4 linked regions of the Caenorhabditis elegans genome follow. The protein of the gene in region 2 purifies or fractionates together with the protein of the main gene of each other region. This does not show direct contact. Each region holds a gene or a part of one and is shown on either strand. Other genes may lie near its edges.

Region 1 (7,837 bases), on a different chromosome or scaffold from region 2:
TAAGTATAATCATGACTAGGTTTGGTCAATTTTTAAAATTTTCCAAAAATCGGGTCCCGCCACGAAAAGTGACGAAATTACAAAAAAATTCCTAAAAAATCTGAATTCAGCTCATTGGGAGCTTTCGAATAAGTATAATCATGACTAGGTTTTGCCAATTTTTAAAATTCTCCAAATTTCGGGCATCGCCACGAAAATGAGGTTACTGTAGCATTTAGCATTTTCTTGGTGGGAGCCGATTTTTGAAAAAGTTTATTCAAATTCAGCTCGAAAATTAAAATTTTCCGCTGAAAATTTAAATTTATCGGCAAAAAATTTTTGTCAGCAAATTGGAATTTTCGAATAAACTTGAGTCCCGCCACGAAAAGCGACAAAATTAAAAATAAATTACTAAAAAATCTGAATTCACCTCATTGAGAGCTTTCGAATAAGTATAATCATGACTAGGTTTTGACAATTTTAAAATTCTCCAAAATTTGGGTCCCACCACGAAAAGCGACGAAATTAAAAATAAATTACTAAAAAATCTGAATTCACCTCATTGAGAGCTTTCAAATAAATATAATCATGACTAGGTTTTTCCAATTTTTAAAAATTCTGCAAGTTTTGGGTCTCGCCACGAAAATAGGGTTACTGTAGCTTAGCAGTTTCGTGGTGAGAGCCAATTTCTGCAATTTCATGAGTTTATTCGATTTCAGCTCGATAATCTAAATTTTTTGCGAATGAATTGTTATCTGAAAATTTGAATTTTCCGCCAAAAATTTCAATGTTTTAAATGTTTTAAACAATTTACAGCATCCAACCAACGCAGAAAGCACGACCGCTGGCAAGAATCAGGAGAAAGGTATTTTCTTTAATTTTTAAATTATTATCACAACAAAAAAATTATTAAAATTCAAAAATTAAAGTTATAACTACAGTACCCCCAGAACACTAACTTTCTCTTCGAGACCCAAAAAAATCAGTTTACTCTAACTACAGTAACCCTACAGTAATCCTAGAATACGCATAACTTTTTAACTCCATTTTTTACAGATAAAGCTGCATTTGGTTACCTCCTCGAGTACACGAAACGGAAAAATGTGATGCCATGGAAAGCGATGGGAATAACGATGGGAAGGCAATTTGTAGATGGAAACACAGGAGGGACAGGGAAAGAGTTAGTGGCAAAGCTCTATCCTCTGCAAACGGACGATGTCAACCTTCAAGCCCAGGCCGAAATTCAAGCCTATGCCCGCCTCATTCCAGTCGCCAAACGGTCTCCCAACTTTACGCCTCTCAAGACGTCAGCTGTGGTTTAAAAACTTCCCGAAGAGTTGCTGCCTGACGATGACATAGCTCACATGCTTGTTTTGGTGATGGAGAATGCCGGATCGCTGTTCGGCCAGCGTGACCTGACGGCGGACGTAGCGACGAGCATCCTACGTCAATTCGTCTTGTCGACGATGCTTGCAAATAAAGCCGGGGTCTTTCAAAATGATCCAAACTTCGGGAACTTGCTTGTGAAGGAAACCAAAGAGGACCAGCTGGTGTTCAAGATGATGGTGAGTTGCTAATTTTTTTTCAAAGATTAGGAAAATTTTTAATTTCAGTTCCGGATCCCACCAGCACACCACACCAAGATGTTGCACAAGTGGCTCAGGATTTGAAGGAACTCGCGGCGTCAGTTGCAGATCGTGATGTTTGTGACAATCTGAAATCCATAGTTTAAAATAATTATTTCAGAAGCTTGAACGTACTTTTGCTGGATGTGTCACAGCCACTTCAATGCAGGACATCTATAATAGCGACTTGTTCAAGGACTGATGGTGGGATCTTCACGACTCTGCTGCGAAAAATTCTCGCTTAATTAAACTTTCTGTGATTTCTGTTTTAATTCATTCCTGTCATAAATACTCGATTTATAAATTTTTTCCCCATTTTTTTCTCCTGGTTAGAAAGAAAATATTTATTTTTCATATTTATTTATTTTTCGTCTTCTTCATTTGCTCCAAATCCATTTCTCTATTGAATTCTTCTGTTGTTGAGCAGCTCCAATCTCTGAAAATTGGTAGATGGAAAATTTAGAAATTTTTTGAATTTCAAAAAAAATTGCTTTTTTTTATATTTTCCAATTTTTCAGATTTTTTAATTTTTTTTAATCTGAAATTTTAATTAATTGTTCAGTGAAAGTACATTAGAAAAATTAGAAAAAAAATTACTGCAAAATTTGAATTTAGCTGACTATGTTTTGCCAATTTTTGAAATTCTCCAAATTTTGAGTCCCGCAACGAAACGCATCGAAATTTCAAAAAAATATTGCAAAATCTGAATTCAGCTCATTGAGAGCTTTGAAATAAGTATAATCATGACTAGGTTCCTTTAACTTTGGAAATTTTGGGTCTCGCGACGAAAATGGGGTTACTGTAGCTTGACATTTTCGTGGTGGGACCCGCTTTTTGCAATTCTAAAAAAATAAAGTTTTTTTTATTTTCGATTATTTCTGGAAGCAAAACGAAACACGTTTTTTTTAAAATTAATTTTCTAAATTTACTTATGATTTTCGACTTTTTTTAATTTTTATTTTTTGAGAAACCGAAACATTTTGAAATTTATTTTTTTTATTTTTAAAAAATTATTTTCCAATTTTTGTGCACTTTCAAATTCTTATAGTAAAACTTTTCCAAAAATGTATAAAACTCTCAATTACAGAATACATTTAATTGAAATTGTGGGGCGATTATTTGGGGTGACAGAAAAATTGGAATTTAAGCTTAAAAATTACAAAAAAAAAGAGAGAAAGAAATAATAAATTAAAACAATCAGATTTTCAAAATTTGAAGTCCTTATGCTTCTTGCCACTGGATCCTGACGACGAGGATGATGACGTCTTGTTCTTCTTGTCATCTTGAACTTTGCGTTTTCTCTGAAAATGAAAATTTAATTTTTTGAGACGATATTTTTTTCTATTTTTTCAATATTCACTTTTACAGTACTCATATAGTATCCCTACAATACTACAACGAAGAAAAGAAAACACTTTTTTTCAAAATTACAGTACTCCTACAGTATACCTAAAGTCCATAATCCCATCCATTATCGTTTCAAAAAGAAATATTTTTTCAAAACTACAGTACCCCGGTATCTCCACTATTTTTTCAAAATACAAAAACAGTACAGTATCCCTACAGTACCCCTAAAGTTTTACTACTACTACAAAACACCTACAGTACTCCTGAACACTGGTGTCAGAATGTCTCTTTTCGGTTTGATCTCCGAAAAATGCGGGAGTAGAGACGCAGAGTTCTCAACTGATTTTGCATGGTTAAAAACGTGCCGCCGTCATTTTTTTTTTGGGCAAAAAATTCCCGCATTTTTTGTAGATCAAACTGTAATGGGACAGATTGGCACCGCGTGCTGAAGTAATTTTACAGTAATCCTACAGTACTACTAGAGTACTTTTACAGTAAAATTAGGGAAATTCCAACAAATTTCAAATGTTTCTTTGAATTTTCAAGAAATTTTTTTTTTCGACACACTAACATTCTGTTTGGCAGCGTGCTCAGCCACCATATCCGTCAAATCCTCTCGATCCTCATCATCATCATCCCGATGCTTTTGCTTTCGGAGCTGCTCCTCGTACCGAGCCGCCAGTCCTTGCTCATCCATATCAATAGACTCAGGATCCAGCGAAATCTGAACTCCATCGTCACGAACCGCATGCTTCTTGGAAAGATCATAAGTATGGGAGGATGCCATCATTTGTCCACCGATACGTTCGTTCTTCTTCTCCGGAATGATATGATAGGCAGCCGCAGGAGTGTCTGTTCCGAGCACAGAGCTCTCTTTTCCTTTCCGGAGCTCAATCGTGTCAGGAGTCTCGATTCCAGTGATTCCAGTCGTCATTCCAGATGGTGTGATCATTCCCTCAACCGGTGCAGGTGTCTGGAATCCTCCTTCAACATCAGCATCATCATCGTCGGCATGTTCTTCCTCCTCCGACTCTTCCTCGTCACTGCTCTCGTCGGATCCGATCTCTCCCCAATATCGCCGCTCGATTTGCGATTCGTCTTCGGGCTCGAAAGCTGGAGCGGCCAATCCGAACACGTCTCCGTACAGAGGATGTCCGTACTCGTCGACTGGTGGTTTTCCCCAACCTCCTGCGTGATAGCCGAATGCGCAGCCCTCTGAAAATTTCAATTTTTTTTCCATTTTTACGGCTTTAAAGTTGTAGTCGAAATTTTTTATTGCTTTATTAGACTCGAAATCGTTTAAACTACCGAATTTCATAAGCACACTTTTTTAAAACCTCAAAAAAAGTTATGGTGGCTCAAAAAATGACCTACAATCCGTTAAAATTGAAAATTTAACCAACTTTTCAATGTGGCATCTCCCAAAATTTACCAAAACTTGTTTTTTTTTTGAGTTTTTAATTGATAAATTTGGAAAAATTGATCAAAATATAGCACCTCGCATTAAACATTAATTTGTCGTGTCGAGACCCAGTATCGTATTTTTTGCTTGAAAATCGTGAAAGAAGTTATTTTTTATTTTTCTAAATTTGATTTCATAATTTTTTCAACCAAAACCAAATTTTTTCTGAATTTTCAGACATTTTTTTTTCGTAAAATGTATTTACTGAACATAAAATTGTCAAGTTTGTCTTAATTTCTTTCAGGATAACATGTTTTTGCGAAAAAAATATCTGAAAATTTCATAATAATTTTTTTTGGCAGAATTTATGAATATTTGTGTGTTAAATTATGCGAAGAAAATTTTTTATCAAAAGAAAATTATTTATCATTTTGCAAAAATTTGGCGCTTAAAGCGGGTCTCGCCACGATCTCAGTTCTTGTGGTCGGTACAGGTGCAAAAATTCACAGATTTGTTAATTTTACGTTGAAAATGAAATTTAGCAGGCAATTTTCTAGGTTTTTGGTAATTTTATGTTGAAATGTAAAATTTTTCATAATGTTTTTTAGATTTCTGCTCTAAAATAGTACATCCAGAACATTTTACCGTACCAGGAATCGGCGCATTCAATCCAGGAATCTTAATATGCGGAAAACTGGGCGGTGGTCCGTAACGTTGCATCGCAATCAACCATGGCGGTGGAAACTTGAACGCATTCGATCCGATGGGCATTCCCAGTGCAATTCTAAGCTCATCCGACATTTCACCCGGCTTCTTGTCTCTCATCATCGCCTCCATCTCTTTTCCTTCATAGTAGAGCTCGCCCATTTTTGTCATAGCCGGCTTGGTTTGCCATTTGAAGAACGCGTCGTGAAGTTTTTGATAATCAATATCGATTTTTCCAAGCTTCGGGCGGGCCCGCTCTCTCATTTTTGATTTAAGGCTCTGGCTTTCTTCTTTTTCCAGCAGCGCTTCTCTCATATCCTGAATTCCGGTTCTTTTAATAAAATCTGGCAACTCAAATGGTGGCCGTTCGAATCCTCGCTTTCCGGCGAGATATTTACGCTTTGCATTCCAATGGCGTGGAACTGGAACTGAATTTCTATAAGATTTCATTGCGACAAGGAGATACGGATCACGAGAAGTCACATCGGCCCATTCAACAACATCGGCTCGAAGTGTCGTCTCTTTAAGCTTTGCAATACTCGGTTGAAGAGAAATTCGGAGTTTTCTACGCGAAAGCTTCTCCTCTGTGTTTTCTTTGGCACGTTCTTCCATCTCCTCTTGAATAATTCGCTCGGCCTGACCGACTTTTCCCAAATCATCCTTTTTCTCGCCTTTGGAAACGTGATGGCCGTAGGAGAAGCCGTCTTCTGAGTCGGTGGAGATCTGGAAGCCGATATATTGGAAAAACATTAACAAATAGTGATATGTTACCTTAAAAGCATCAAAAATTGCGGAAAAGTATTGAGCGTGCGGGTTATCCGGCTCAATTTCAATTGTTTCACCGATATAATCGATTTCCACGTCAAGATCGTCACCATTTTCCTCCTCTTTTTTCGGCTCCTCTCGTGTTTCTATTTCAGCTTGCTTCGTGGCTTTTGCTCTCTTCTTCGATTCCTTCTTCTTTTTGCTTTTCTGCTGTTTTCTCTTCAACTCCTGAAGCTCCTTTTTAGATAGGTTCTTGTTAGCCTCATCGTCTGAATTGTAGTCATCCTCGCCTGACATCTGAAAAAGGAAAACATTTAGTTGAAAATTGAAAAGTTTTCAATGAGGAAAAGAGGTTTTTAACCGCAAAAACGTTGAAAAATCTAAAAATTCGCAAAAAAAATTTAATTCGAAGAGTACGCAATGGGTCGGTGTTTGCGTACCAAACACTGAAACCGACGCCAAATACTCTCCGTCTCTCATTTTTGCACACTGTTTTATCATTGAATTTTCTCTTTTTTTTTTAAATTTTTTTAAAGCTTTATAATGCTTTAAAAAGATTAAAAACAGAAAATTCAGGTTGAAATGACAGAGCCATCTACATCAGGAGCCCAAGACCATGACGATTATCTAGTCACTCTCGTGAGTTGCAAATAAGCTGAGAAATACTGCCATTTTTTATAGATTTCTTTTTTCAGAGCTCCCCTCAACGCCAGTGCACCATCCGAGTTGTTCAGCCAGCTTCTGCATTAAAACGTGATTATTTATAAATATTATTTGTGAAATTAATTTTTTTTAACCTTCAGGAAAACTCCCAACTTCATCAGTTCCCGAATTCAATCCAGACTCCTACGGGGAATCGATTCCCGAAAATGCTCCAAGGCCTGTCTGCGAAACCTGCTCCGTGGCCTGGTCAACATGGGCGGCATACGAGTTCCACATGCTCCAGACTCATATAATATACCGCCCGTTTCGATGCTCTGGATGCCGGAACTTGAATTTTCACACCGAAGATGAAGGAAAGCACCACCTGGAACATTTTCATGGTGGCAAACCTGGCAGTTTTCAGGTGAAATTTAGTATTGCGTTTTATATTTTATTTAATTAATTTTTAGCTCATCAAACAGACGGATTTTGCAAAGGAAAATCAGTTGATCGAATGTCTGGAAAATGCAAAAACCACCGAGCAACTCGGAATTTCGAAAGAACGACTTGAAAATGGGCTGAAAATGATTGAAAAACTTCAAAAAATCAAGTTTAAAGCTGTGAAAGTGCATCTTCCATGCTGTCTTCGCCATGAAATGATCTCAAAACACACAGAAACTGAAAAAGAAGCGCCGCCACAAGAAAAATCGGTTACAAATGCTCAAAAGCCCGGCAATCCAGCACTTCTGTCTCTGGAATCCCGAAACTACGACTACGAGCAACAAGATACTGTTGGAATTTGATAAAAATGAAATATTCATTCGATTTTCCGTCAATAAAACTTCATCACAAGATTTTTATTCGTTTTTTGAAATAAAAATAAAATACAGATTTTAGCGCAGACATTTAATGTTTTATTCATTTTTCTCAGTTTCTTCTGCTACTTTGGAAGCGCTTTTTTTGCGAAAAAGCTTCAGTGACACAAGATAGGAAGGCTTTACAAGAATGTGTACTGAATTCTAATTATTAAAAAATTTTATAATTAAAAACCGCGAGGCACAACGCGAAATGAAGAGGCGCAGGCGTTTGTCCGCAAACACCGTCACGCAACTTTGCAGACTTGAATTTTTTTTGTTTTTCTTTTCCAGATTTTTCCAGTTTTTTCCAGATTTCTCTCTAAAATTAATACTTTAAAGCAGATAATTTTCGATTTTAATCAACAAATTCATTTTTTAAAGTAAAATGGCTGCGGATTCTCAAGATGTAAGTGTTTTTGCTAGAATTTACGGCACAATTTCCTAAATATTTTTCAGATCTACAGAAACTTGTCAGCAGATGACTATGAGGCTGCTCCAATTGTTGTTGATAGTGT
Region 2 (9,773 bases):
TGATGGTTTTTTGCTCTGAAAAATATGAATTATTTTTGGAAAATCAAAAGAATTCGATTTTTTTGAATAATAGATTAAAACTGGCCATATTTTCGATAAAATTTCTACAATTTTATTTTCGATTATCTCCGGTTTTTTTGCTCTGAAAAATACTTTATTATTGTCAATAACCAGAAAACCAATTTTGCGACAACTAACAGCCGGCAACTGATCAAAATTATTGGAAAAACTAAAATAAAATAAATCAAAATTACAAAAAGACTGAATTTCAAAATGAAGCATCATAAAAATGCCTAAAAATGAAAAAAGAATGCTAAAGGGAGGAGTAGAGATTTTTCCGAAACAATTTTTTAAAAAACCGGCTGAATTAAACTTGATTTCCCAAGCAAATGAATTGCCTAATTTCGAAATTTCTGCATTTTCTGGACATACAATTGTGCGGAAATTCAAATATAATTTCAGCTGTTTTTTTTTTGGAAAATTCATGAAAATCATCTAAAAATTGGACATTGCTTAAAATCTTCGAATTTTACCAACATTTCCATGTCGCAAATTAATTTTTATTTAATAACTTTTTTATTTTGCGTATTTTCAGTGAAAATTGTCCAGATTATCGTTCCAATCATCAGAAAATGCAAAAGAGAGAAAAAAACGTGCAAAAGTAAATAATTAAATAAAAATTAATTCATCAACACGGAAGTTGAGAAATTACACGGAAGTTGAGAAATTGGAGAATTTAGTTCATCGAAGTTTATTTTCGAATTTTTAATCCATCAAAACCGGTCTATTGAGGTAATTTGAGTATTTTAACTTTACTTTAATTTTAATTTTTCAGTATTTTAATGAATAATTCTGTGCCCTATCCATTACGAACCGGATCACAATGCGGACATTTGTCGATCGTGTGATACACGACTTTAGCATTCCATGTCATCTTCTGTGCCTCGTGAAGTCCAAGTTGTAGCTCATTTTCAGGCGGTGGTTCAGTGGTTGCTCTCCGTTGACTTGAGTTATTGCTGCTGCTGGGTCCAGCTATTTCGAACGCCATCCCCGTGGATCCACACCGCCTTCACGGACCAAAGCAGCACCTGCGCTTTTGAACGAAGATTTTCGAAATTCTTTTGCTCACTTGGAAGGGATGACTGAAAAAAATCGATTTTTTGAGAAAAACTAATTTTCAGAGAATTTAATTATTACAAAGACGCGAACATTTGTACAAAAAATACGGTAACCGGTCTCGACGCGACAATTTTAGTTCAATGCAAAAATGTGTTTAACAAAAATATCGTAGCTGCATAATTTTCATAGATTTTGTTCAAATTTTAAGTATTTTAATATTTGTATGAGTAAATATATTTTTGAGATAAAATCGATGAAAATTCTGTGCAAACAAAAGTTTTTCGATTAGAAAAATAAAAATTGAAAGAAGATTATGAAAAATCGATGAAAATTCCGTAACAAAGAGATTCTTAAACTACAGTAATCCTTAAAGGCGCACACCATTTTTGCATTTAATACACATTTGTCGTTTCGAGACCAGCCACTGTACTGTTGCTGCAAAAAGCGCAAAATTTTCGTTTTTAAGGAACTAATATTGAAAGAATTTGTAAAATTTCTTTTTTAAAGATAATTTTGCCAAAAATAAAATTAGAAAATTATTTTTATATTTGGAGAGTATTAGGAAACTCTGATATTTTTTAAGGTATTTAAAAAATTTTTAAACGAGAAAAAATAAGCGAAATTTGACTTCAACAAAAAAAAAGGGATTTCTTTAAAACATTAAAATAATTTGACAAGTCTTCATTTTAAATATCTATCGCAAGAGTTGTTGTTGTTTTTTTTTTTGGGAATAAATTGATTGATATTGGAGAAAAGTAATAGAAAAACAAAAAAAAACCACTGACAACCAAAACAATTTTGTTAGATTAATCTAGATTCAAGAGAATATTTGGAGGGAAATGGGATTAAAATATAAAAGGTTTCGTTTTCTATGAAAATGTGATGAAAGGAGGGAGGGAACACGGAGATAGAAAAATAAGTTATCGAGATCCAAATAAAAAAAACAAAAATTAGAAAATTATTTAAAGATTATAATCAAGTTCGTAGCGGACATATTGATTTGTTGGGGTGTTCTCGATACGTGGATAGGCGGCAATAAGAGCATCTGCGGAGCCAAGAATTAGGTTGTTGAAGACCTGGAAATATTAATATGAAATTACATAAAAATTTAGCGCTTGTGGAAAAAACGTCTCAATATTCCGAATACAAATTTTAAAAAATTTATAGAAATTTTCTAATCTTTTTTTAAATTTTGCGGAAAATTTGAGAAGTACCAAAACATTTTTGAATTCCCGCGCAACCTGTATTTAATTTTTTCCTTTTTCAATTTTTCCGGTCGCTCACTTTTGGTCGAAAAAAAAGAAGATATTTCACAATAAAAATAAATTTTCTCTGAAAAATAAAAATTCAATTGAAAAAAATCATTAAAAAATTAGAAACATTCTATAAATATTTTAAAAGCTATATTCCGAATATTTCCACTATTTCTGTAATTGAAAATTCAAGGAAACTAAAATAATTACCTTCCACACTGGTTCTCGAACTTTTCTCGCTGGATGCCAAAGAGCTTGCAGGCAATATTGAAGAACCTGAAATGAATTTTAATTTTTGAAATTATTAAGAATTTAAAATAAAAACCTTAATAGGTCCCAACGAAACTCGCATTCCTTCACATGCAAACACCCATCGTTGAATAAGATGCGGTGAGTTTTCCAACATATTGGGCCACACATAATTCAATAAATGAATAAGTGCATCTTCACAACCAAATCCATAAACTCCAATAGCAAGATGAGCAACTGCGTCGACTGCAATCTGACGATGAACTTGATCTCTTTCCATTAATGCATCAATGAGCAGCGGAACAACTGCATAAATGTAGTCTTTTGCCATTTCTCCAATGTATTCGAACATGAATGAAAGAGCTTTTAAAACTCCGTTTTGTACATTAATTTCAGGTACACGATACTCGTTCATAATTGCTGGAAGTACTGTAAATGGGGCACAAGTTTCCGAAACAATGGCAATGGCGACTGTTGTACACACACGGAGCTGGCGTTCTTGGACCTGAAAAATAATTTATTTTAAAAGAATCACTTCTAATCCGAGCCTACCTTCAAATTATTGAGCAACGTTGCGAGAACATCATGTGGTCCGATAGCTTTTGCAATAAATCCAAATGTATTAATTGCAGCTCTTCGAATACTTTTCTTGTGAGCTTTAAGCAATTCGAGAAGCTCGAAACAGATTCTCATCCATTCTCTTGCAGATACAAATTCAGATCCTCTATCAGCGATTGCTCCCACCAAATCGATACAGTTCTCCTGCACTTTCTCGTGACGATTCTTCAAAATTGGTGTCAATCTTGGCAGCAAATCTTTGATTGGTGGAGTCATTTTGGTCATTCCAATAACATTGCAAATTGCTTTCAATGCACCGAGAATTGATCCAAGTACTTCTGGATATTCTTCTCCCAAATACTCATACAATACTACTCCCATGTGTCCCATCATTTTCTCCTCTTCACACATATGCATAACCGGTGCAATTCTGGCAATTAAATCAGCAGCTTGTTGACGAACTTTTGCAGATTTGTTGTTGAGACGCCACAGAATAGTACCACAGATTTGTGGGATATATGCCTTGGCACGTCGTCCAAGACTTGAGCAGATTGTTCCAAAACCATCAAGCATCACAGAATCTTCTTGAGTTTGTTCCTGGAAAGCATAAAGAAGACCATCAATCAGTTGTTCTTCAAGTCGAGCATCAATATCAGTCGCTCCTTGCAACGCTACAATATTCTCAATTGTTTCCATAACCATTTTTCTGTATTGCTCATTTTCATCCTTCAAATCATCAACAATTCGAGCAATCATCTCAACGCATCCGACTTTTTGAGCAATTTCCACAGTTGTATCAACCAATTGGCGATAGTTACGACGATCCATAGCCATTCTTTGATTCCAGAATGCTTTGAAGAAGCTTGGAAGTACTTCGTCTCGAATGTAACTCGCTTCTACTCCGTCTGTTGCACAACACTGCTTGACAACCTGCAAATTTAAATGTTAAACGATAGTTCTACGAATGTTTTGGTTATTATATCACTCACCTTTAAAACAATCTTTTTCATTTCCTCATCTGGCGATGCAAACTCGCGAATCAAAATGAGCATCACTTCTCTTGTATAATATGAAGCATATTCTGCGTCCATCAATGGAATCAGGTAACCAATAGCTTTAAGGAATGCAGCAAGACCTTTTCCACGATGCATACGAATACCTTTCCAAAGAGGTTTCAACACTGAATCGAAAGCTTCAATTCCGTATGGAGATGAAGCTTCGGCGAGAGCTGCCAAGCAGAGAGCAGTGATAGTTCGGACCTGAAACGATTTGCATCAATTCCAGAAACTTTAGAAATTAAAAAGAAAACCTTTTGCTGTTCATCATCCAATCCGCTTTCAACAATATCAACAAGTGCTTTCAAATGTGGTAATACTGCACAACCCATCAAAATGGCCATTTGTTGAACAATTTTAATACCCGTGTGCCGAGCCTGCCAACTTTTTTTACTTTTGCACACAGCTTTAAGGAATGGGAGGAGAGCTGGAATTCCGAGAGCTGAGGCGACGACAGCGAATGCACGAGCGGTTGTATTACGGACATATCTGCAAATTTTTGGGTTTGATTAAAAGCTTTGTGATGTTTTTTCTGCTTTAAATTCATTAAAACTGACCCGCAAATACCGAATTTCATAGTGAGATTTTTAAAAATCTAAAAAATACATTTTTAAAACTTTTTTTGAAAAAATTCGGTCTTTTCGGACTTTTTTAAATTAAAAACTAGTGTAAACCTATAGAAAATCACTTGATTAATCTGAAATTAACATTAATTTCAGCTGGAACGTTTCAGAAAGTTCTCAAAAATGGCCAAAAGTTGCCAGATTTTCTATAGTTTCAAACTAATTTTTAATATTTCTTCAATTTTTTTACTGTTTTCCAGGGAAAATTGAACAACCATATATTTGGTGTTTGTTTAATTGAAAAATCAACAAAACTGTCGACAAACTTACTCATCAACATTATCAATATCAGGCCTCATTGTAGAAATCATTGTTGCCAATCCAGCGGCCTTTGCAAGGTTGGAAATGATCTCACGACCTGAAAATATTTAATTTTTAAATTTTAAAATTTATTCTAAATTTTCAAACCTTCAACTCTTGCATAATAATCCTCATCGATAAGAAGTGGCTCAATGACGACAAGAATCTTATGCACATATGGTCTGACGAGATCATCCAATTTGTATAGAATTCGATCAATAACTTTTACCATCAAATGCCGTTCTTGATCCTCCAGCGATGGTGACATGAGAAGTGGAAGAATTTGATTGAAAAGTGGACCTGCTCCGTACTTTCGCGCGTTTTCTGTTATTTTTCTCAATCCGCTCTTTCTCATTGGCGGGGTTCCATTTTTGATTTTCAATAAATGCTCCATAATTTCCCGTTCATTTTTCTCTTCTTTCGTGAGTTGACTCTCATCTACATCCATCAACAACTTATCGAAATATTGCATATCATCTGGCTTTAGAGGTGGTAATTCTGCATTCTTAGGTTGAGTATCCACCAGACCACCGACTCCTTTCTCTCCGATTCCATCTCTATCTGGTGTTCCAGGCATAAAGAATCCTCCACCAGCAGCTCCACCCATTGGAGTTGGAGTGGCCATCAACTTCCGTGATGGTGTTCTCAGAGGAATGTAGTTCATTGGAGGAACCAGAACCTTGTAGCCAGGTGGGAATAGTGAATCGAGTTCTTCATCAGTCAATGGACGGTTTCTGTCATCAATTTCCTTCTCCCATCGGTAAATTTGCATTTGTTCAGGTGTCATTGGAATCATATGAGGAGCTGGTGTTTTCATTCCCATTGCTGCCGTTCCAATTGGAGTTGCTCCACCTGAATATATTTTATATTAATTTTATATTAATTACAATATTTTGTAATAAACCTGGAGTCATTGCTCCGATTGGAGTCTGTGAAGGGTGGCTCGGTGTGAATGATGGTGTCTGTAATCCGGAATGAAGTGGAGTAGCTGCTGCCACATTCGGAGTTTGTGATGGTGTCAGATCCCATCGTGAACGACGCTTCGATGCGGATGGAGTATCCTCAATCTTAACATCATCTGATCCTCCTCTAGCAGGAGTCTCCATTCCCCATCCCGGTGTCATTGATCCATCATTGAGATTCTCTTTTGGAGTTTCATCCCAACGATTTCTTCTCGGGGTCTGTGCTGCCGGAGTCGTTGACCATTTATCCACAGAAGGAGTTGCATCAGCTGCTCCAGTCGAGTGAGCCGGTGTTTCATCCCATCTAGCAGCTCTTGGTGTTGCTGCATCTGCACTAATCTTCGAAAATCCTAATCTTTTTCGTGGAGCAGAACCCTGAGATGGAGTTGCAGAAGCTGCACCAAGATTATCAGAAGATGCATCAGTTGATGGAGCTTCAGCATCCCATCTTCCTTTCTTTTTCTCTGGCTGTCCAGTAACATGAAGCTCTCCAGCTTTTGCTCGATCGGCAAGCTCCCGTTCAACACGCCCTTTCTCTTCATGGTACATCTGATCACGCATAACTTCTGCGTAACCTCGATTCCGATTGTCAGGAGTTTGATCAACTGAAAGAATAAATTTAATTAAAGTCAAAATGATTTTCGATCTTACCAAAAGCATCCGCTCTGTCTGGAGAGATCTGTCTCCTCATAGCTCTTTCGTGATACTTGGATTGTCGTTCTGCGATGGTTTTTGTGCGAGTATCTGCGAATGGATCAGTGTCCTCGGAGGCAGCAGCCACCTCTTCGATGAATTTGTGTGGCTGTGCATAATTTGTACTTTTCTTTTGTACACTCGGCATCGAATCCTCATCGACGTCATCTTCTTCTCCGGTTCCAATCGAGTCTAGGTAACTATCCCGATTTTCACCACGAACACTTCCGTAAACATCCTGAAATTGAAAAGATTCAAAAAGTAATAGAGAATTTTCAAATTTTCAAATAAAGTATTAGAATTCACTAACCGTGTCGAAATTACCAGCGGCTCCGAAGGCCACTTTATTTCCGTTTCCCTTATTCTCATCGTTGTCTTCGGCTGCCGCGGCACGCTGGTTTGCGACCCTTTTGCGGTTCAACTCCTGCGCATAAGCCTCGCCTGAACGAGACATCGATCTACAATCAATATTGATTATATGGAAGAAAGATTAAAGTTGGAAGGAAAAAAACTTTTTTTAGAAAAGATTTAGAAAACAACATCCTAAACTTCGATAGCTTGCGCGAAACCATTTTCAAATTGTAATAAACAATTGCAAAAATTTATTAATGAAATCACTAAAAAGAAATGGAAACCATAATCCTTTTACAATGAACAATATTCAAAGAAATACACTCAAGAAACTAAAATATTAATACCCTTGAAAAATAATGGATTATCTTACGAATTTTTATGAACATCAGACAGACAACAATATTTAAAGTTTTTCTGTTGTTTTTTTTTAAATAATTTAAAAGTTTTTAAACGTAAAATAACTGAAAACTGTCCCTTAAAAGGCGAAAATTGCATTCGAAATTTTGCACGAGAATCGCGTCAATGCACCGGTCGCGCGCCAACAGCACCTGCTGGCGCGCTCTCCGATCAGTGGAGGAAGATCGAAGATTGTGTTCACTTCAAGAGTTTTGACATTTCATTTGGAATATGGTGAGTTGCTCGTTTTAGTAGGTCTTTTCTGTTTTTTGTTGTTTTTTAGTGTTTCTTTCGACGTATATCGACTTTATAAGCAAATTTCCAATAAAATTGTGAACTTTTTTAAAAATTAATTTTTTTTCACCAACATTGTGGCCACTTTAAAATTGAAGCATAACTAAAATGTTCTTATTTTTAAATTTTTATTTAAAATAAAAGCTTTCTTATTTTTTTAAGTGGTTTTATCATGTTTTTGCTTTCTCGTTCTTATAGAGAGAGAGAGAGAGAGAAGAGACGCAGAATACTGGGGCAGCATATAGCATGTGTGTTGTTTAGATGTCTCCTTGCCCCTACAACCCTTTTCTATCGATTTCCCCGTTTTTTTCGGTCTGCCACGTGCTTCTTTTTCAGTTCATGCCTTTTCTCCTTTTATGAGATTCTTTTTTCCCCAACAAAATCTTATCGAAAATTTCAGGGTAAAGTCTGAAAATGGCTCCGAACAAGGCTGCCGCTGAAGAGTATCCAGTGGATATTGTGGATTTAAGTGATGATTTTAAGAGTAGCAAGACTCTTGATTTGGTCCTAGACGAGGAGCACAAAGTCTACAGATATTGGATTCATTTGAAGTGTATGAAATGGTCAGTTTTACTTCTAAACGATAAATTGTTCACTTTTCTGGAAAAAACGCTGAATTTTGGCTTTATGGTTAAAAAAAAACATAATTTTTAAGAAGTTGAAACTACAGTACTCTTTATTGTCGTTTCGAGAAACCGTATTTTTGCACGGAAATCGATCAACGTTGCTTCTGAGAAATAATATAATCCCATAACAAAACTGAATTGTCAGGCAAATTGAGTTGCGTGCAAATTCCTTCGAATGCTTTGCTGCTTACTTCAAAACTCCAGCCACCTGGTCAGCGGAAGTTGAATTCGAAATTCGGGCTCACGTTACAAACTCTGTGAGAAGCGAAAAGTTTACTGGACGATATACAGGATCCAATCATGTCTACTTTCGTCCATTGAAGCTTCAAGATCATATGGTTCGAGAGAAGCTGAGAAGTATGAGAGTAGAAATCACAGTGAATGTCATTAAAACTATGAACTTCGGAATGCTCTACGACTATTTTGATGTTCTACCAGAAGAAGAGAATGCTTTGTTGAAAGTTGAAGATCGTCTTATTCGTGTGAATAAAAGATATCTGTCAATGATGTCTCCATTCTTTAAAGCATTATTCTATGGAGAATTGGGTGAAGATAAAGAAATCTATGAGATGAAAGAGAAGTTCCGTGAGATTATAACTTTCCTCAGATGTATTTATCCACACAGACAACCTGTTACAAGTATGTTCCACAATTTTGAGAATCGAATTATTATCAAATTTGCAGAGAAAAGCCTCGACTATCTTCTCCAACTCGCAGATCGTTATCAATGTCAACCAATTGTGGATGCGTGTGAGATGTTCATGTGTGCACATTATCATGAATATCAGAAGAAGACGGAGAAATGTTTCTCTTACGTGGAAAAGTATAAGATGCAAAGAGTTTTGGTACGTTCAAACGTGGACTTGTGGGGAATTTACTATGAATTGCTCCCGGTATCTACAACAAGCGTGGGCGGCAAATCTTCTGCAAAACTTACAAAACTGTTTGTTTCAATGTTATAATTCATTATATTGAATGAATGAAAAACTGGTATAGAAATGAAGAAAATGGGTTGTACCATCGGAAAAAATATTAATTTGAGTTTAAAATTTTGAAAAACACCTCAACTAGTACTCGAAAGCTATCATTTGCCAAAAACTTTTTAACTGGAAACGGCAACTTTAACGCAGTATTTGAAGTGCTTTTCAAATAGTTTAGAGCAAAAATAAACATTATTTTCAGATTGAACGAATAGTTTTCTACATTTCTATATTCATTTTATATCAAATCAAAAAGTTGGATTTTCATATTAAAAGGAGGGGGGGGGGCAACTTTGTAAATTTGCCAAAAA
Region 3 (6,772 bases), 3.1 Mb from region 2:
GTTTTCGAATGGCTGTTTTTAGTTTTCTCAATGTCTCTTGATCCGTCTTTTTCATCTCAGCAATCCAAAAATCGTACCGTTTTGTTTCATGTTCCATTGCATTTACACATAAAGTACCAATCTGCAAATCTAGCTTTTAAACGAAATTCAGGTGAAGTGAAGGCGTTTAGAAACCATGCATGCCTTGTGATGAAGCAGAATTCCGTGTAAACATGAAAACTTGGAAATATTCACAAAAAGGTTCATAATATTGGTTCCAACTTCAAAGTGTTTCTTCCAGTCTTCTCGGAATACTCTTGCCAGTGCCATCATAAGAGTTTCTGAAATGTAGTGTTATTTGAACGTTAACTTTAATACATAGATTACGTCCGAAAATTATGGTCATCGGGTAAGCTTTTCTAGAATTACCTACCATTGTTCACAAGCTGTGTGAGGTTTTGAGGATTTTTTGAAAGTTCATAAAGTGCCACGGCTCCTTTGTTTTTCTCAACAGAAGTTTCACCGTAGAAGCATTCTATGTACTCCTGAAAGATACATTTTTAATTTCAAAAGTAGTTTTTCAAGTTCTATTTGGTTTTAGGCTCTCACCATAATAAGAAATCTGTTTTTATATAAATGTTGAATGATGTATAGAAAACCATTCAAAGATTATTTTAAACTAATCAGATTATTTTCGAAATAAATTTTTAGATTCTAAAATATTGGTACTACCGGATACAAAAGCACTCAAGCGAGCTTGGTTTTGTTTCAGCTGCTCCATTTTAGAACATGTAACAATTAATGTTTTCAATTTTGATATAGCCTATGCGTATTTGTAAAATAAAACCAAATGCTCCTCAACTTTACGTAATCTACAAAATGTTTTCTTATAAAACGTACATCTATTTTCCCTAATTCTGCACTAATTGTAGGACTATGAATAGGCCTTCGATCAAATGAAACGGCCGAAGAACTTCTTGATCTCGCACTTATTCGTTGATTTCCTCTTTTTTGAATGTAGAACAAAACCTGCTCCAATTGACTTCGTGACGTGGCAGGAATGAAAAGACATTTTTGAAGAATAACATTTGATAAAGCACGAATATCTACATCCAGACTCATTTCTTTCAAGTGGATTCTGTAATACAATTTGGGTAATTTTGTAGCCGTACAATGTTAGATGCAGGTGACATTTTGAGGTTCTCATATATATATATATTCGATTATTATTTTTTATCAGTTATTTTCCAATATTCTAAAAATTAAAGAGGCATGGATTCATGGGGAATGGGTCTCACAGCGAGCAAAATGCTCAAGTCAACACTTTTTGCTATTTTCGGTCGTGCGTTTTCTGTTATTCGGGGTTTTGTGAGCAATTATTAAATAACTTTTCTGTATCTTGATTGTGGTTTTTGCAACAGAAAAAATTTAAAGTGTTACCATAAACATTTTTCGCGGTGAGACCCATCCGAAAGAATACGTGCACCTTCGTGGGCATACGGTCTTAAAAATATTTTATTTTATTTTTCTTGTTAAGCAGATTTGCATTCCAGTTTAATTTTATATTTTATATCAGATTCTTACATTTTTTGATGGCCAAGAGACTCAACGTTCGCTGAAGAAGCTCGCTTTTTTATTGAAATTCCTGCTGAAGAACCTGAATCAAACTTCCAAATAATCTTCGTAACACATTCAATTGAAAATAAAAATATAAAACTTACTAGGAGATTGTTCAAATCGTACAATAATTGCCTGATCTGACGGGTGTGCATCTATTGAAACTTGATTCATTGAGCTAAACACGGAAAATCAATCGAAAAAACTCAAAAAATATTTCTCTTCATTCTGATTACCTATTATAGCTTACTGAAGAGCCGGGGCGGAGCATTTCTGAATAACTGACAAACGACAGAAATCGATGAGACGGCTCGAGGAGCACTAGTCGTGGGGGATGTCTGTTCGTCTCGCACGCTCTCCTTGGAGACGTTGCACTCGTTGTAATAAGAAATATTGCTTACACGCTTGTACCAGTGTTCTATTTTATTTGTTCGGAAAACTTTAATGAATTAAATCGACAAATGGGGGTTTTAACAATATAAAATTGAGAAACGAAGAGTACGGGATGGACGAATGAATGGAGGAAGGAAAGGAGTGGAGATTGATTGACATCATAAACATTTGTTTTAAATATTTAGACCATTTAGAGAAGTAAAATTTGATACTGTTTTAAGAGATAAGTTTAGCAAAAAAAATTAAAATTTGGAATTTAAAAACGAATAAAATGGGGATTGTTTTGATGAAAAATTGAGCCAGCAATTGGTGAGGAGTCATTAGCTCTAAATGGTCCACAGAGATAAAGAGGAAGGGATGTTGACAACGAAAGCTTGAATTGAGAGGAGATTCGCCGGGACCACAGCATCTTCTCGTGCCAGCCTAGATCATAATGAATCGAATTTAAACTTTTTCGAAACTATGTTTAAAATCAAAATTAATGTACACAACTTTTTGAAGCCGATTTACGAGAGATGGCCGAGGCCTCTTGGGGCGTGAACAACAAAGAAAAGGTTAGGTATTTACAGATGATAGATAAATCGACTGATGATTACTTCTTGGCACCCTTCTTTGGTTGCGCAGCCGGTGCGTTTCGTGGTGGGGTGACTGGTCTATTTGAACCAACTCCTCCAGCACCATATGGATATTTCTTCTTGTCTGCTGGTTTCAAGATCTGAAAAAAATATTCCGAATTGTTTTATTTTAATGTTTGATAGGTAGTTTTAGCGTTTAATAAATCACCTCAGACAAATGCCTCAATTTCACCCCGCTTAGCGGCAATTTCTTCGAAGAACTCGAATAGATAGCCAAAATAGACTCGTCTGATTTAACCATTGCATCATTGGTGAATGCATACGCATTATCAGTATTTAAAATTATATAGATGGTACCGCTATGTTTACCTGGAAAGAGCACATCAGTGTTTCATCGACAGTCATCATCGATCCCGCGTTATCAAACTCTCCACAATAATTAGGAGCGCTGAACAATGTAACCAACTGCCGCTTAGCGAAGAATTCGTAACCGTCTTCCACAACCTGAAAATTTCTCGGTTCGCAACTTTGCAGAAAATCTTAAGTAATACCTGGTGAGCTCTGCAAATCAAATCCAAATCGTGCTTGTGCAGGAATTTGGCAACAACTTCTGGTCCGAAAGTGAAAGAGACGCCTCGGTCGTTTTCTCCCCAGCCAGTGACATCCTGAAAATAAATGGTAATCATTCATTGAATTTTATGTTCACAAACGAACTTTATCAGGATCTGACCACAACAGATCGCACAACAATCCTTGATCTGGTACGTCTGTCGGCCTCATGATACGACGAATTTGCTCCATAGACTGAAGATCTGGAGAAAGTCCTCCGTGACAGCAGAAGATCTTTTCGTCGATGATGGCGGCAACTGGCAGGCAGTTAAAGCAATCGGTGAACGTCTTCCACAGTTTGATGTTGTATCGCCGCTTGCCTAAAAACATGAGATTTGAATAAATCTGTACTAAGATAATCTCAGATCAAACTCTTACACTCGTCATAGAAGCCATAAATTCTGTTGATCGAGGCACACTCGTGGTTTCCTCGGAGCAGGAAGAAATTTTCCGGGTACTTGATTTTATATGCAAGTAGGAGACAGATAGTTTCCAACGATTGTTTCCCTCGGTCCACATAATCGCCGAGGAACAAGTAGTTCGACTCTGGGGGGAATCCACCATACTCGAACAGTCTCAAAAGATCGTAGTATTGTCCGTGCACGTCACCTGAAAAATATATTTTCTCAGAATATATATTATCAAAAATAAAAACGGCAATTTCCTGTGGAAGGAAATACTAATAAGTAAAATGACTCATAGCAGGAAACGTCAACTTTTTTCGATAGAACTTACCGCAAATTTTCAACGGAGCTTCCAACTCGAGAAGAATAGGTTGGCTCAGAAAAATTTCACGAGACTTCTGGCACAACCCCTTGATCTCGCTCTCTGTGAGTTGAACATTTTTCCCTGGTTTGGATCCTCTGACTGAAGCGGAAATCATTTTAAGATTAATTTCAATAAACACTATGACAAACACATACCTTCCAATAATCTGGAGATGATATTGTCCAGATTAAGCTTTTCTACGTCCATTTGTTGCGAGAAATCGCTCAAACAACCCAATTAGATCTGCAATACGAATAGAATTACCTCTTTGAGATAATGTCAATCAACAAACGTGAAAATACGGAAAATTTAGAAAGAAAGTTTGATAATTACGTCTTTAAATCGCGTGATTACTCGAAAAGTTGATAAAAACAGCAGCAAACATGTCAAAAATCGAAAGATATTTGGAGGCGACAGGGTCAAAACGAATGAAAAGAGTGGCGGGTCTCGCCGCGAAAATGCCGCATTCAGCAGGGTACGGTGGCCGGTGGAGCGCTTTTACATGTTCTCATTTTTTCTGAATTTATCCGCTAATTTAATGATTTTGAATCTGTTTTTCTACATTTTTTCTTCTTGTTAAAATTAAAAAAAAGGGGACGTTCAAATTTTCAGAACTTCATTAGTATTGAATTGAAAAAGAGCGCGCGAAAAGGATTAACTTGGTTAGAGGGCTTTGAAAGTTGAATTTTACATTGAGGAAAATATTTCTACCATTATTTAGAAGATAAAGCTTAAAGTTTCTCTTTTCCCTGAAATTTTCACTATTTGTCAAAAACGGGGCACATATAATCGAATGATGCGCCAATTCGTCACTTTGTTTTCGACCAAGATGGCAGAGAAATTGGTTGGTGGTGAGAGATTGAAATGTGTAAATATAACAAATACACTGTTCTTCGTTCACGATTTGTCAGCAATTATGATCAGATGCAAAAACATGGGGAACAAGATGCATTAAATCTTATTAAGTGAAAGTTTAATAGATGAAAACGTAGTTATAAGAAGTTTATTTAGCATATTTTGATAAAACTTTTACTTATGAATCATTTTGAAATATGAGATTATTATAGTACTCAAAAGTTATATATTATTTAGCTAGAAATATATGAACACTTTGGTACTTCTGCATCCATGAATTCGTTCAGAAAATATATTGAAGCATTAGTTAGAAAATGAGCAGTGAGCATTTAAAAAAATCGATTGATGTCTAGTCAAGTTCAATAAGAAATAAGAAAAAAGAAAAATAGTTGGAGTGAGAAAAATCAGCAAAAAAGATGCGAGAAGTGTGGTGCTCATGGAAGCCTTCTTCTCCATCCTCCTCACAACTCCCTCCATTTCTCTGCGTCGCCTGTTCCCTCTAGTCCCTCGTGACCAACTGCAGTTTCTGTCGTTTTCTCCCCATGTCATGTCTAGCACACGTGAGAAGTGAAAAGAGAGAAAGAGAAGGGCATGATTTCGATTCTTCTGCCGCTTTTCTGTCACTGGTAACAATGCACCTTTGTCGGATCAGACACTCATAGATCGTTGATCTACCTGAAAGTTTGAGAAAAACAAAATCTCTGTTGTTTTATCTTCTCACATCTTCCTATTGATTATTTTTTCTCTTTTTTTTGTTGTCCTCTCTTCTCATTCGTTCTATCCTATCTGTTCCTGTTTGTGTTCTGTTCTTCACCACATTTTCTGAACAAATCGATAATCTGCACAGTTCGAAGAAGATGCCGCCAAACGCGAACTCTGTTGGGGGCCCGAAAAAGAAGAACAAGAAGAATCATCAACGCCCTCAACAGCAACATCAACAAACACAGCCACAACCGCTACCAGAAGAGGAACAGCCGGTAAAGTGTTACTTCATAATGATTTTTCAAAACTAAAAGTTAAAAAAATCGAATTTCAAAAAATCTCCTTTAAAAAACCGTTTAACGGATTTTTCCGTTTTCTAAAGCGCTGCAAACATCGAAACTATGCAATTATTTTCAAAGATAGATAAAATCTTAATAGATTCGGAACGCTAACGAATGTTTTTCTTATAGTACTACCCAGACGCGAAAATTCGTGCCAAAAAACGGTACTGGGTCTGGACACGACAAGTTTTTGTTGAATGTGAGCCTTTAAATAGTACTGTAATTCCAAACTTTCGATGTGTGGAGTTTACATAAATTTTTTATAGTTTTTCTTACAAATTCGATAAAAAATTCCGTAGCAACGAGTCGTGTCAAGGCCGGTTAACGTATCTTTGGCTTCTGCATACGAATGTATACATAGTATCAAACATAAGATAACTTTTAGTTTTTTCTCGTCGCAAAATAAAAAATATTAGGTATACGTCATTTCAAATGATTTTTGAATCTAGGTAAATTTGAAAAATACACAAATATATTTTACTTTTTTTGTCAAAAATTAATATTTCTTCCACCTGTTTTGCACAATTTCAACACATTGTGAAAGCACCATAACAGTGTCTGCGTCTCACTCACGATTTCATGAAATTTTCCAATATTTTCTTTCTTTTCTTCTCCACTTGATTGGCACTCCTCTATCGGTTTGACTTTCATTTCATCATCAGGTGACCACTGACCCTAACACATACACTCAAAATAATAAAACTCCGTGGCGTGTACTGCAGAAAACCTAATATTTAGACCCCGCCTTTTAATCGTCCACTCACGGGGAAAACGCAAAAAGCCGTACCCCAGGCAATATCAGCCGCCGACATCATTCGAGGTCCGCGCACCACACTATTTTTCTCACTGTTGGCGTGGCGAGCTGTCCCCCCCCCCCTCCCCTATTTTTGTCTTTTCCCCGTGAGTGGACGATTAAAAGGCGGGGCCTAAATA
Region 4 (5,159 bases), on a different chromosome or scaffold from region 2:
TATGATTGGACTTGGAATTAGCTTCTCCAGAATCACTGATAATAAGCATCATTGGAGCGATGTTCTTGTCGGAATTTTCATTGGAATATTCTTGGCTGTTTACACTGTAATATTATTATGAGTGTTTGGGAACTTTCGCATTTTTTCTGCTTTCAGTGTACCTTCTGGACAGATTTGTTCTCAAACAATTCAACTGAATCTGAAACACAACCTCTTCTGCTTCCTCGACCACCCCGTACTCCCAGAAACTCTGAAGGTTGGTCCATCGTAAATTTTAACTCAATTACATATTTTTTTCCAGATGAGGAGCGACATCGATTGGATGCAGTTTTACCTTCTACGGATAGTTCTATTGTTTTTGAAGCTACTGGACCGCAGGACTCGGATACAATTTTGTTGCCGGTTCCGCAAAGTGCATAATGCAATTTTCTTGTTTTTATTCGAATTTTTTGTTTTAAATATAAATAATTTTTGCCCTTATGTTGTTGCTCTTAATGCTTGAATTGAAGAAATTTATAGAGATCAGAACGTAACAACAAAATAAAGTACAGTTGTTCTCACGGGCTGCGAAACTTGGGAAATTTGTGTTGACTCGGAAAGCCGTAATAAATTATTTCAAAAGATTTAAACAAAAGTCAGCAACTTTAACGGGAACAAAATGTGAATTAAACTTGAGGAACGTGATACAAAAGTATAGGACGTTCGATACTCAAATTTGCTATGACCCGATGATAGCTTAACGACGTGGACCGCCTCCGCGTGGTCCTCCGCGTCCGCGACCACGACCTCCTCTTCCTCCGCGCATTCCACCACGACCACGTCCACGTGAAGCTGAAATAAAAATATTAATAATCTGTCGAAAAGACGCTTAAAGCTACCTCCGGCGCGAGCGGCACGGGCCTTCTTTCTTGGTTCATCGTCGATTAAAAGGGTGTCAAGAGCGAGTGGATCCGGCAAAATGATGTATCTGATGTTGTTACCTGAAAATCTTAAATTATATTTATTCAAATATGATTTTTAATAACCTCTGATTGAAAGCGTGTCGAGTTTGACTGGCTCCTTGTTCTTAACTGTCATTGAGACGGCACGAAGATGTGTGTTCATCGCAACATCGACTCCCATGATAGTGCCTAAATAAAATCGATTTAGTTGTTTAGTTACGTTTTTGCAGTAATTAAAATTATACAATATTATTCGGATTTATGACTTTGAAAATGTATCCTAATATAAAAACACTATAACAAATGTCGAGCAATTCGTGAAAGATTGATTTTGGTTGGTTAATAACTCAACTTCTCGATTAAAACACTTTCAAGCAGACAATTAATCTTAAAAAATACTCACCGGACACCTGAGTACCGTTCTTCAATTCAATATTGACGGTCTCGTGAGACAACTTCATCAGGAATCTGACCAACTTCATTTTTCTACCTGAAATACATACAATTATAGAAGAATAAAAGGAAACGATGGAATTCAATAGAAAATACGACGATAAAAATAACTTTTAACTGATAAGAAAGAGGTTATGACAAATAAAAACATCTGCATCAAGGAAAAATGTTTCAAAACAGATTTCCAGTGACTGGAATCCAGTCATTTTGAGCACATTCGAAAATGCAAAAGACTTGGCGGCATGCCAAGTGGTCTCGCAACGACTAGGAGTACGGTCGCACTCGTTTTCATGTGTGCGCTTTTGATAGAATTTCTTTTTCTTGACTTAGGACTTTCTCTTCTTAAAATTGAGATTGATTTCTCGAATTCATGTGTTTTTTTTACTGGGCTTAATGAACGGCGTTTAATAAATTAATTTTTGAATATAAAGTGATTTTCCAGAAATGCCGCGCCTCTATCTAGGAAAAATTCCATACAATGCACGCGAACGCGACGTTGAGCGATTCTTAAAAGGATATGGCAAAATTAATAACATCTCAATGAAGTATGGATTTGCCTTTGTCGATTTTGAAGATTCTCGTGATGCTGAAGACGCATGCCATGATTTGGATGGAAAAACCATGGAAGGAAGGTAATAAAATAATAAACCAAAATTAAAAATGTTCTAACTTTTTATTTTCAGCTCTATGCGCCTTGTCGTGGAAATGGCTCGCGGAAAACCACGCGGCAATGACCGTCATGGATCGAGATCACCACGACGACGTTCCCGCTCTCCTAGACGTCGTTCACGTACTCCACCAAGAAGACGTTCCCGCTCTCGTGATCGCAAACGTTCTCGCAGATCCCGTTCCAGAAGCTCCTCCAGATCCAGATCACCAGTTCGTGAAAGTCGTCGCAGAAGCGAATCCCGTTCGCCGAGCCCGAAAAGAGACTTGTAAGTTAACTTTAATGTGTGGATTGTTTTGGAAGGGTGCCACATCACGAACCGTTTTAGCCACAGTTCAATGAGAAATCAATATCACCTACAAGCCCACATCGCAATGGCATACACATAGCTGAGACAGTTCGAGCACAGTATGGGTCAACTATCAATACATTTCAATTCACTTCTCGTTCAGTCCCCACAGTTACCAAAAGCCGCTGTTTCGATTAAAAGAGTGAGATCCCTAACTTTGAATCAGACAACTTCGCGCAAACATATCGGTTTCGTATTCGAGTCCTTTAGATTCCGACTCTATTAAATGCAAGAATTATATTTTAGGAAGCGTGAAGCGTCGAGATCTCGTTCACCACTGCCAGCAAAAGATCGAAGCAGAACCCGAAGTGGATCTCCCCCAAAGGTAATTCATTTATGTGCTTGTATAGTAAAAATCATATGGTTTCAGAACGGCGGAGATAGAAAGCGCAGCGTGAGCCGTGGAAGAAGTCACAGCCGAGATGGCAGCAATCGCAGTGTGTCTCGCTCTCCGTCTCCAGGATCTCCAAAGGATTAAAATTGTGTTTTTATACCGTTTACTGTTGTTCATTTACCACTTCTATTTTATAATATTTGTTCATCCTCAGAGCTGTTCTGATTTTAATAATTCCCGAATAAAACCGAGCGGAGACTTCCTTCATTTTTTAAAAATATTTAAAGGCACATGGTATTATTCACACAGGTCTCACCACGATTACTTCAACTACTGTACAATATTGGGGAATTTGAAGGTCGAACGCAATTTTGGGCTAATTTACTGCTTTGTTATTTTTACTGTTCTGGAAATTGCCGTTGTACTTTTTATAGTCATTATTATTAGAAAAAACCTTTTACGAGATTTTCGAGCTAATTTTTATACTCATATATTGAAATAGAACGCAAATTTTCGAGTTTTCTAAACAAAAAGCTTATCGTTTTCTATTCTCTAAATTGAAAAGAGTTGCAAACTAGGACAAAAACCGAAAAAAAGGCGAATTTTGAAAGCCTGCGAGTGATGTTTCCTTGAAAAATCTCGTCGAACATTTGTCGGTGTGTGTGTATTTGCCCCTTTTCGTTAGTTTTGTACAGTTAATGTTTACTAAATCTCGCGTTTTGATAATTACTGTTTAGATTAATTCACACCGCACGAAGCATGAATTTGGCACAGTGCCAAGAAAGCAGTCGACGAGAGGCTCTTGCGCAGCCGACGTTTGGGGCGGGGCCGTTTCGTTGTCGTCCTCTCGTTCTCTTGCCGGCGACGAGGCAATTCGAAACTCGCGGCCATCGCATTGAGGCTCTCCTCCCCTCCTCATTCTTCGTTTCGTCCGCTGTTGAGGAGTGTGAGTAGGACACCGCTTCCTTCGACCAGCCGGCCGCCTCTAGCTGTCCAGTGAGCGTTGCGTGAGTGTCAGGCACAGACTAGGCCGACGGTGGACGGGCGCGCAGCGCCGGGCCCTGTGAGGCGCGAGAGCCAAATAATAAGATGTCTCTTTCCGCGATAGAGTTGTTCGCGCTCTTCCTAGGAAAAAGTTTTCTAGAACATCGTTTGTGTTTTTGAAACGACAACACATCTAAATTAAAAAAAAATTTTTTCCTCAGTAGCAGATTTTTAATACAATAACTCGATATTTTTTTCTCAAAACTCAATGATATTTTCAAATGTTTCTTCTATTTCTCATTCAGATTTATTCACCAGCACTACATTAACATTTGTTTTACAGAAAAATGTCCGACGTTGCCGAGACTGTTGTCGCTCAAGAGCCAGAGGTTGTCGAACCAGTCGAGGAGAAGCCAACCGAGACTGGATCGGACGATGTCGTTGTGATTGATGAGAAGACCAGTGAGCAGTGAGTTTTTGTTTCATAATTTGCGATTTACCTGTGCATTTTTCTAAAACTGTAGTATATAGGTCAATTCTATGGAAATCGCGAGCCACTTTTTTGTATCCATCTGCGCGCGGGCGTTGAGTGGTGTTTTCCTTCGAGGTCACTCGTAAGACGTGAATAATGTGGGACGGTCATAATGGTAGAAACTGTTCTGTGAAAAACTGAGGGGTCATTCATATTTCTTTCTATGCCCTTTTATTTGTTCATAGTATGTGTATTGGTGCAGTGTGCAGAAGGCATGGTGCCATAAAGAAGACAGGCGGCAATGGTGAAAACAAATACGGCGTAGGGTAGTGAGCAGGCAACAGATTGCACTAATCCGTTTCTCTACAATTTATACTATTTTTGTAGGAACGGTGAAAAGACAGAGGAGACTCAAGCTGAGGCCACCGAGGAGAAGAATGAGACTGAGGCTGAAGAGGCCGATAAGGATAAGGCAGTCGAGAACGGAGAAGCAAAGGACACCAACGGCAACGTAAGATAGTTATATATTATTTTTGTTGACCAATTTTTATTTTTGCAGGATCGTAAGCGTGTGTCCAGCGCCCACGAAGAGGCTCCAGTCGCCGACGCAGAGGAGGATGCTCCATTGACCAAGAAAAGCAAGGTTGAGGATGAGGTGAGAACGAAGGGCAGGAATCTAATTAGGCATTCTAAAAAGATATAGGATAGGCGTATGCGACTTAGCACTAATTATGGGATATATCGGGGCGTAATGTGTGCGATGTACACGAGCAGTTCTGATGAATTCTTTATGAATCGCTTCATCTTCCGTTAGGGACTAATATTCAATGTCATTGTCAATAATTCGATTTCCCTTGCAGGTTGACGTCGCAGCCTCTGGAGATGCCCCAGCTGTCGCCGCCGAATAGGTTGCTTCCCAACAACAAATGCCACTTCATCCTTCCTCAAATTCCCCGTTT

The links.
Region 1: the proteins of sftb-1 (region 2) and sftb-2 fractionate together in Caenorhabditis elegans (co-fractionation; one large-scale study listed by BioGRID). This does not show direct contact.
Region 3: the proteins of sftb-1 (region 2) and gsp-2 fractionate together in Caenorhabditis elegans (co-fractionation; one large-scale study listed by BioGRID). This does not show direct contact.
Region 4: the proteins of sftb-1 (region 2) and snr-3 fractionate together in Caenorhabditis elegans (co-fractionation; one large-scale study listed by BioGRID). This does not show direct contact.

What each region holds. Positions count from the first base shown.
Region 1 is NC_003283.11:126,520-134,356, reverse strand, and holds sftb-2 (PSP proline-rich domain-containing protein), read right to left. Parts: upstream 6,121-7,837; coding exon 5,830-6,120; intron 5,782-5,829; coding exon 5,004-5,781; intron 4,167-5,003; coding exon 3,523-4,166; intron 2,906-3,522; coding exon 2,810-2,905; 3' UTR 2,686-2,809; downstream 1-2,685. Other genes in the region: W03F9.2 (C2H2-type domain-containing protein), read left to right, coding at 6,406-6,462, 6,519-6,576, 6,627-6,889, 6,936-7,268; W03F9.1 (Zinc finger protein ZPR1 homolog), read left to right, coding at 7,708-7,728, 7,779-7,837.
Region 2 is NC_003281.10:4,262,001-4,271,773, forward strand, and holds sftb-1 (Splicing factor 3B subunit 1 domain-containing protein), read right to left. Parts: upstream 7,271-9,773; 5' UTR 7,267-7,270; coding exon 7,123-7,266; intron 7,051-7,122; coding exon 6,771-7,050; intron 6,725-6,770; coding exon 6,062-6,724; intron 6,010-6,061; coding exon 5,266-6,009; intron 5,216-5,265; coding exon 5,128-5,215; intron 4,724-5,127; coding exon 4,489-4,723; intron 4,439-4,488; coding exon 4,169-4,438; intron 4,110-4,168; coding exon 3,174-4,109; intron 3,127-3,173; coding exon 2,698-3,126; intron 2,649-2,697; coding exon 2,583-2,648; intron 2,196-2,582; coding exon 2,082-2,195; 3' UTR 1,783-2,081; downstream 1-1,782. Other genes in the region: depd-5 (DEP domain-containing protein), read right to left, coding at 1-15, 875-1,048; R10E4.1 (BTB domain-containing protein), read left to right, coding at 8,271-8,419, 8,628-9,121, 9,167-9,327.
Region 3 is NC_003281.10:7,333,999-7,340,770, reverse strand, and holds gsp-2 (Serine/threonine-protein phosphatase PP1-beta), read right to left. Parts: upstream 4,185-6,772; 5' UTR 4,149-4,184; coding exon 4,097-4,148; intron 4,041-4,096; coding exon 3,909-4,040; intron 3,783-3,908; coding exon 3,552-3,782; intron 3,494-3,551; coding exon 3,279-3,493; intron 3,230-3,278; coding exon 3,116-3,229; intron 3,069-3,115; coding exon 2,934-3,068; intron 2,880-2,933; exon of another isoform or gene 2,769-2,879; intron 2,705-2,768; coding exon 2,582-2,704; 3' UTR 2,006-2,581; downstream 1-2,005. Other genes in the region: kap-1 (Kinesin-associated protein), read right to left, coding at 1-121, 175-320, 413-524, 880-1,117, 1,564-1,636, 1,701-1,770; F56C9.10 (BCAS3 WD40 domain-containing protein), read left to right, coding at 5,654-5,773. UniProt on the Caenorhabditis elegans protein: Serine/threonine-protein phosphatase essential for chromosomal dynamics during meiosis and mitosis. During meiosis, promotes chromosomal cohesion and germline immortality via a small RNA-mediated genome silencing pathway.
Region 4 is NC_003280.10:6,488,331-6,493,489, forward strand, and holds snr-3 (putative small nuclear ribonucleoprotein Sm D1), read right to left. Parts: upstream 1,432-5,159; 5' UTR 1,424-1,431; coding exon 1,345-1,423; intron 1,131-1,344; coding exon 1,026-1,130; intron 981-1,025; coding exon 879-980; intron 832-878; coding exon 737-831; 3' UTR 501-736; downstream 1-500. Other genes in the region: plpp-1.2 (Phosphatidic acid phosphatase type 2/haloperoxidase domain-containing protein), read left to right, coding at 1-106, 157-256, 302-420; rsp-5 (putative splicing factor, arginine/serine-rich 5), read left to right, coding at 1,839-2,026, 2,078-2,329, 2,657-2,735, 2,781-2,888; T28D9.11 (uncharacterized protein), read right to left, coding at 3,478-3,663; T28D9.1 (uncharacterized protein), read left to right, coding at 4,076-4,197, 4,588-4,711, 4,760-4,855, 5,061-5,108. UniProt on the Caenorhabditis elegans protein: Plays a role in pre-mRNA splicing as a core component of the spliceosomal U1, U2, U4 and U5 small nuclear ribonucleoproteins (snRNPs), the building blocks of the spliceosome.